2 linked regions of the Macaca fascicularis genome follow. The protein of the gene in region 2 purifies or fractionates together with the protein of the main gene of each other region. This does not show direct contact. Links are inferred from orthologs where the notes say so. Each region holds a gene or a part of one and is shown on either strand. Other genes may lie near its edges.

Region 1 (3,652 bases), on a different chromosome or scaffold from region 2:
GAAGAGCAGATTTCATACTGAGAGTGGAAACGAAATTATGAAGAGCTTAGATGTGCATGCCTGAATTGTTTTTGAGCTGCTTTCAGTGCAATACTGATATTTGTATTTTACCTATTACAGCTGTTGAGTGGGATGTCATGGCCAGCTCCTCAGACAGTGAAGATGACAGTTTCATGGCTGTGGACCAGGAAGAAACTGTGCTGGAAGGGACAATGGAGCAAGATGAGGAGCCCCACCCAGTATTGGAGGCTGACGAGACTAGACATAATAGGTCCATGTCGGAGCTGCCAGAAGAGGTTTTGGAGTATATCCTGTCCTTTCTGTCACCATATCAGGAACACAAAACTGCGGCCCTTGTCTGCAAACAGTGGTATCGACTTATCAAAGGTACTGTGGATAGGAGAAAGGTTTATTTATTGATTTCAAATTTCATTGATTTATTTTTAGACTCCAGATTTAGTTTTTTTCCTCCCTTAAATGTATTATGGTTATAAAATCTGGTATTAGACGATACTACATTTTCTTTTTTTTCTTACCCTGGTTAGTTCAATGAACAGCTTGAATACTAAAGTATCTAATCCCATTTGCATTTTTTAAAATGAGGATTCTTTTTAAAAGCTTCATATTCTTAGAGTTGATCTGGTTAATCGTATTGTTCTTTTTTTTTTTTTTTTTTTTTTTTTTTTTTTTTTGAGACAGAGTCTCGCTCTGTCGCCCAGGCTGGAATGCAGTGGTGTAATCTTGGCTCACAGCAAGCTCCCCCTCCCGGGTTCATGCCATTCTCCTGCCTCAGCCTCTGGAGTAGCTGGGTCTTCAGGCGCCCATTACCACGCCCGGCTAATTTTTTGTATTTTTAGTAGAGATGGGGTTTCACTGTGATAGCCAGGATGGTCTCGATCTCCTGATCCATCCGCCTCAGCCTCCCAAGTGAATTAATAGTATTGTTCTTGAATGGGCAAAATAGAAATGGATATGGGATAATAGTAATAGCCAATGTGAGCATAGCTTTTGTCATGTGTCAAGCACTATTGTAACTGCTTTACATTCACATAGCAAACTATGACTAGAACATACTGCATTTTATAGATGACAGAACTGAGTGAGGCACAGTTAACTTATTTACATGGGTAGTAAATACAGGATTAAAGATTCACATTCAGGCAATCTGGCTTTAGAGTCCATGCTCTGATTAAGGCTGCATATTGTCTCTGAGTAGCTACTTTTAGCAACTGTGCTTTCTTGAAAGCATTTGTCATTTGATTTTATCTCTAAACAGCAAAGACCCTATGTACATCTTTTACTTTTTAAAATATGTTTCTTGGCCGGGCGCAGTGGCTCACTCCTGTAATCCCAGCACTTTGTGAGGCTGAGTCAGGCGGATCACCTGAGGTCAGGAGTTCGAGACCAGCCAGGCCAACAAGGTGAAACCTTGTCTCTACTGAAAATACAAAAATTAGCTGGACGTGGTGGTGGGTGCCTATAATCCCAGCTACTGGGGAGGCTGAGGCAGGAGAATTGCTTGAACCCAGGAGGTGGAGGTTGCAGTGAGCCGAGATCACCCACTGGACTCCAGCCTGGGCGACCGAGCAAGACTCTGGTCCTTTTTTCATCCTTTTCCTAATCAAGATTTCAACTTTTTGCTAAATGTTTAGGTTGCTAGACATGCTGTATTTTTAATTAGCAGAAAGTAGTTAGTGGCTTCATTGCATCTTAAGGGGAAAGGGCCTGCTTTTTGTTTGAAGATGATCAGTCAAGTTGAGTAATTTTTGATCAAGCGAGGGTTGTCTCGATGTGTTCTTTCCTGGGGGAACAAGACAGCCAGAGATATAACAGAGAACAATCTTTAGATCAGAATCAATCAGTTTTAAAATATTTTCCTTGCATCAAGGTGGTTCTCATGGGGAGGGAAGTCCTTGTCAACTCCCAAAGTCCACCTAGAGGGCTAACAGCCAGCTATTGAAACTGCTCTATGGGCCCTGTGCTTATTTGATTATAACTGCTAATACTGGCACACACAGCCTGCTTCTATATTCTGAGTTGACGAGCTCTTCAGGAGAGATTGGCTCCCTGCACTGTGGAAATACATGCTTTCACTTCTCAAATAAAGGGAGGAAAACCACAGGTAAGGGACTGTGATTTAATCAAATATATGAATTTATCCTAGGTTTTCTTTGGCAGTCTTATTTTGGTTTTCTTTTCTTTTTTCTTTTCTCTTCTCTCTTCTTCTCCCTATCTTATCCTATCCTATCCTTTTCTTTTCTTTTTTCTTTCCTTTTCTTTCTTTTTTTATTTTTTTAAGAAAAGAACCCTACCCTAGTACTCACAGTCTTAAATCGATCTTTCTGGCAGAAGTCTCTGATGAGATAGTTTTGTTTCTTTGTTTTTAATTTTAATAGACTTTTTTTTTTTTTAAGAGCACTTTTAGGTTCACAGCAAAATTCAGCAGGAGAAACAGATTCCTCTGAGCGGGCACAGTGGTTCATGCCTGTATTCCCAGCACTCTGGGAGGCCAATGTGGGCGGATCACTTGAGATCAGGAGTTCAAGACCAGCCTGCCAACATGGTGAAACCTCATCTCTACTAAAAATACAAAAATTAGCTGGGCATGGTGGTGGGTGCTTGTAGTCCCAGCTACTTGGGAGGCTGAGACAGCAGAATTGTTCGAACCTGGGAGGCAGAGGTTGCAGTGTGCCAAGATCGAGCCACTGCACTCGAGTCTGGATGACGGAGTGAGATTCCATCTCAAAAAAAAAAAAAGAAACAAAACCAATTTCTCATTTACCCCCTATCCTGACACATGTGTAGCCTCTCCCATTATCAGCATCCCTCACCAGAGTGGTACATGTGTTACAATTGATGAACCTATACTGAAACATTGTTATTATCCCAAAGTCCATAGTTTACATTAATGTTCATGCTTGGTGTTATGTATTCTATGGGTTTGGATGAATGTATAATGACACATATCCACTGTTATAATATCATAATAGCTTCACTGCCCTAAAAATCCTGTATACTCTCCCTCTTTATCCTTTCCTTCCACCAACCTCTGGCAATCACTGATTTTTTTACTGTCTCCATAGTTTTGCCTTTTCTAGATGGTCATATAGTTGGAATCATATAGTATATAGCCTTTTCTGATTGGTTTCTTTCACTTAGTAATATTTGCATTTAAGTTTCCTCTTTTTTTTTTTTGGAGACAGGGTCTTGCTTTGTTGCCCAGGCTGGAGTGCATTGGCGTGATTTTGGCTAACTGCAACCTCCACCTCCTGGGCTCAAGTGATCCTCCCATCTCAGCCACTGGAATAGCTGGGACCACAGGTGTGCACCACCATGCCTGTGTAATTAAAAAAAAAATTTTATAGAGATAGGATCTTGCTGTTCCCCAGGCTAGTCTCAAACTCCTGAGCTCCAGTGATTTCCTGCCTCAGCTTCCAAAAGTGCTGGGATTATAGGCGTGAGCCGCCGTTCCCGGCTTCCTCCATTTCTTTTCATGATTTCTTTTTTTGTTAGTGCTGAGTAATATTTCATTGTCTAGATGCACCACAGTTTGTTTACCCATTCAGTTACTGAAAGGGCATCTTGGTTGCTTCCAAGGTTTGACAATTATGAATAAAGCTGGTGTACATCCATGTGCAGGTTTTTCTGTGGA
Region 2 (3,887 bases):
CCACCTGCTGCAACCGGAACAGAAGTGTGGCCGAGCGGGCTCTGACATGTCCCAAGCCCACGACCGGAACAGAAGCGTGGCCGAGCGGGCTCTGCCGTGTCCCGAGCCCACGACCGGAACAGAAGCGTGGCCGAGCGGGCTCTGCCGTGTCCCGAGCCCACGACCGGAACAGAAGCGTGGCCGAGTGGGCTCTGCCGTGTCCCGAGCCCACGACTGGAACAGAAGCGTGGCCGAGCGGGCTCTGCTGTGTCCCGTGCCTGTGCTCTCCACGCAGGAGAGGCTGGTGGCGACCGGGGATCCTGGAGCCCACCACTCACCTTCGGTCCTACCTCCTCTACTCACTAGAGGCATCTTCCCTCATCTGGCCTCAGTTTCCCCACCTGCAAAAAGGAGGATACTGTTTCACACATAGGCTGTCAGGGTAACTCATTTAGTCCTTACAAGTGTCAAAGAGAACCAATGTGTGGTCAGCGACTCTCATTGAATCCAGTGACACAGTGCATTCAAGTCACCACAGAAGTCACAAAAATAAGCAAGATTTTTTTTAAAGGATTACATCGGGGCTTAAAATTTTAAGATCTTAAAAAATTTTCAATCCAAAGAATACAGCCCTTTTAAACTACAGGAAGACACTAGGAATATAAATTTGCACAATCATTATATCTTTTATTTACATATAGAAATTAGTAAAACTTAAAACAAAACCAAATGCGACTTGTACAGAAATCCTTTAATTTTCTTTATTTTCACACATTAAAAAATGAAACACACTATACAAATGGTTTTCATAGCAGATTACATGTGGGTCCATTCACACTTGCTCTCAAAGTGCTGCCAACGTGACAAGTGCTGCCAAGGCGACAGCTGCGAATCGGGGAGCCCATGTATTGACGTAGATGCGGTAGCATGCAGCCCTCGGCATGGAGGGTCAGTCCCCGCTGTTCTTAAATTAGGGTAAATGGCGTTGGTGTCCGTATTTACAGACTTGAAATGTATCAATCCTGAGCAGTTCCGATGTAAATCCGAGACAAGCTGATGGGAGTCTTGGTCTCCGTTTTAAAAAGGGAGGTCCAATGGCGGCAGGCTGGCTGCTATGAACTTGAGTTGTTTTCATTCTTTCCAACGTGAACTATTTGCCGCGGGTCACACAGTCAGACCCTTCCAGAAGGGTTAAGCCAAGTAACTGTAGGTGTCCTTTTCACCATCAACTCGCTCCAAATACTCTTTCTCAATTAGAATGTCAATGCATTTCTGGGTGTTATTTTTAAAAAGGAAGAGGTAGTGAAAGAGAAGAAAAACACAAATTAGCATCAGAACAGAGAGAGGTTGCCCCCACCACAGATCTCCCCATGTGGAGCTCGGTGGGGAGCAGTGCCCCCCGCCCCAGATCTCTTAGCATAGTTTCACTTCCTGGGCAGCTAAGCCGTTGTGCATGGAGTTCGTTTAATTTCCATTTCCTTGACACTTGCTGAGGGGGACTCCAAGTCCCTCCTGCACCCACCCTAGGAACTGGAGCCGGGTGCTCTGCGAGCCCCATGGGCCAGTCTCTTTCTACCACCAAAGTCTGCTTGCCTCTGAGGCAGGACTCAGTCTCACAAGAAGAGGCCATGAACAGGCAACAGGGGACCGTGGAGAACCCCCTGAACAGCCATGAACGAACTGGCACCTGTGCCAAATGTAACCCAGGAGGGACACTGGGCCTTCTGCCTGTTGAGGGAGTCACCTGGCTCCCCACTGGCTGTGCCTTACCCAAGTGGTTTCGGAAAAGGAAAGTCCTGCTTCCCAATCAGAAATAAGCAAAATGTCAACAGTAGGCTACACAAAGGAAGGTGTGTTCCCATAACAGAACACCCACAAGAGTCACAAAAACGATCCAGTGCTTCTCGATACCGCAACGCAATGAATCTCCCAAAGATACTGCTGAGAAAATTCTTACCAGGCACGGGAGCATGTGCTCTAGAATCTGTCTATGTATCACGCATAAGCAGGCAAAACTGCTTTATGGTGTCAGAAGACATGACAGTGATTTTCTATGGCACCACAGGTATTAGCTGGGATGGGTGGGCTTCCGGGATGCTGGTCATGTTTTAATTCTTACCTGGGTGCCGGTTACACAGTTTATCGACTGTGAAAGTCATCAAGCTGCCACTTCATCATCTGTGCACTTCTTTGTGCGTGTGTTTCAATAGCGTTACACTAAAGCTTTCTTTTATAGAAATCTACTACATACAAAGAAGCCAGCTCCCTTCTTCTTCATGCTACAGCAATCCATCCACTTTTTGCTACATCTTTTATCTTCTAAATTAAGGAAGGAATGTGACTGCTATGTAAGTCCTGTACCTTGATCACAGGGACCCGAGGTTTGAACCTGGAGGACAGCTGAGTGAGGACCTCGCCAAGTAACTGCTGGTGTTTCAGAACCTTCCTCATCTTCATGATTCTCACGATGGCCGCCTATGCAACCAGATAAGGAAAAAGAGGTGCATTTAGAGCTGTTAACAACTTAGTATTGACAGTTAAGGGCAAGCCGCACAGAGGCTGCCAATGCTACGCACAGGATCACCATTTCCTAACGGGCAACAAGCGTCCTGCCGGTGAGACGGGAGAGGCAACCAATTGTACTCGCCTATGTTTCAACTCTAACGTGGCAAACATTACGTTTTGGTCTTTTGAGCAATGTGACCTCAATAATTTAACTCAACCATAAAGCATTAAAAAAAGGAGACAAAATTAAGTCAAGGCCTCGGAAGCTGCCCATCCTCCCCGCTGAAGCACTCTCCTTCCCCCTCGTTTCAGCTGGGCCTGCCACAATGTCTGCTTTCCAACATGGAGAGCAAGAGGACTGCCCTGTTCTGCCTGGTGACATAAAGGACTAATTCAGATAACAAGGCCCTGGCTCTCGGCCTTGCCACCTTCTGCCATCACAGAGCCATTCATCTGGCAATCACTCCTGAGTCAGCCCCGCTCCCCCACGGCCCGTCCTTGCGAGCCATCCCTGCGTGAGGGACCGCACACCCGGCACAGGCATACAGGAAGTCACCTGAATCAGTAGTTTGCGGTCTTCCTCGATATTTTTGTGTGTGGTTTCTTGTTCCTGCTTCTGTTCGGTTTTCATTGGCACATTGATGTTAACCCTTAATTTCTTACTATCAAGAAAATGGAGGAAACCGATCACTATCATGTTAAAAGGTAGGCAATGAAGGCTGCTTTCTATTTGTCAACCTTTAAGCAGTGCCCCTGCTTCCCCAGACAGAGGGGAGCGCTGATTTCTGTGAGCTCTATGTGAGAACGCCTGTACCCAGCACTGGGCAGAGTCCGATCACAGCGTAGTTTCCTACTTGGCCATTAACAGGGACATCCACATTACAGAAAATCCAGGTCCTTAATCTGCTCTCCCAAATTTTGTCAAGTGAAATAAAATCAAGCCACTTGGACATAAAGGTCCAAACTTTCCTGATGAGCCATTTAAGGAGACTTACGTGCCAAATAAATAAACAAAAAACCCAGTAGCTCAGAGTTGGAGAAACATCAGGCTTGCTGAATGGAATCGAAGGCCTACCTCACACTCCCAGCCTAGTGCCTGTCGCTTCATACTGAGTCCCCGTCTCCCTCGGTTCACAACAATACTGAGATCTGTGCTAGGGCTCCCGGGGGACACGTCTATGGTCTAGGGCCATCTATTTATTAGATTTTTCTTACTTTTTATAACCAAGATATAATTTTATTAAGGTATCTGGCTTTAATTCCACTTCATCAACATTTGCATTTTCATCTTCCAAGACCTGTAAGAAAAAAAGTGTTACTATATAATCTCAGGAAAAGGCTTGCTTCTAGCATAAGATAGAAAGTGCACAAACCTACCAGTAACTTTGACTTTAATAAAATCT

Evidence for each region. The genes of interacting proteins can lie anywhere in the genome.
Region 1: the proteins of CUL1 (region 2) and FBXO42 purify together in Homo sapiens (affinity purification with mass spectrometry; 9 studies listed by BioGRID and IntAct, counting the BioPlex papers as one, with this or other methods). This does not show direct contact. The link is inferred for Macaca fascicularis from reciprocal best matches to the Homo sapiens genes CUL1 and FBXO42.

What each region holds. Positions count from the first base shown.
Region 1 is NC_088375.1:218,794,378-218,798,029, forward strand, and holds part of FBXO42 (F-box only protein 42), read left to right. Parts: intron 1-120; 5' UTR 121-137; coding exon 138-387; intron 388-3,652. UniProt on the Homo sapiens protein: Substrate-recognition component of some SCF (SKP1-CUL1-F-box protein)-type E3 ubiquitin ligase complex. Specifically recognizes p53/TP53, promoting its ubiquitination and degradation.
Region 2 is NC_088377.1:190,452,922-190,456,808, reverse strand, and holds the end of CUL1 (cullin-1), read right to left. Parts: coding exon 3,862-3,887; intron 3,783-3,861; coding exon 3,700-3,782; intron 3,147-3,699; coding exon 3,041-3,146; intron 2,455-3,040; coding exon 2,341-2,454; intron 1,252-2,340; coding exon 1,171-1,251; 3' UTR 646-1,170; downstream 1-645. UniProt on the Homo sapiens protein: Core component of multiple cullin-RING-based SCF (SKP1-CUL1-F-box protein) E3 ubiquitin-protein ligase complexes, which mediate the ubiquitination of proteins involved in cell cycle progression, signal transduction and transcription.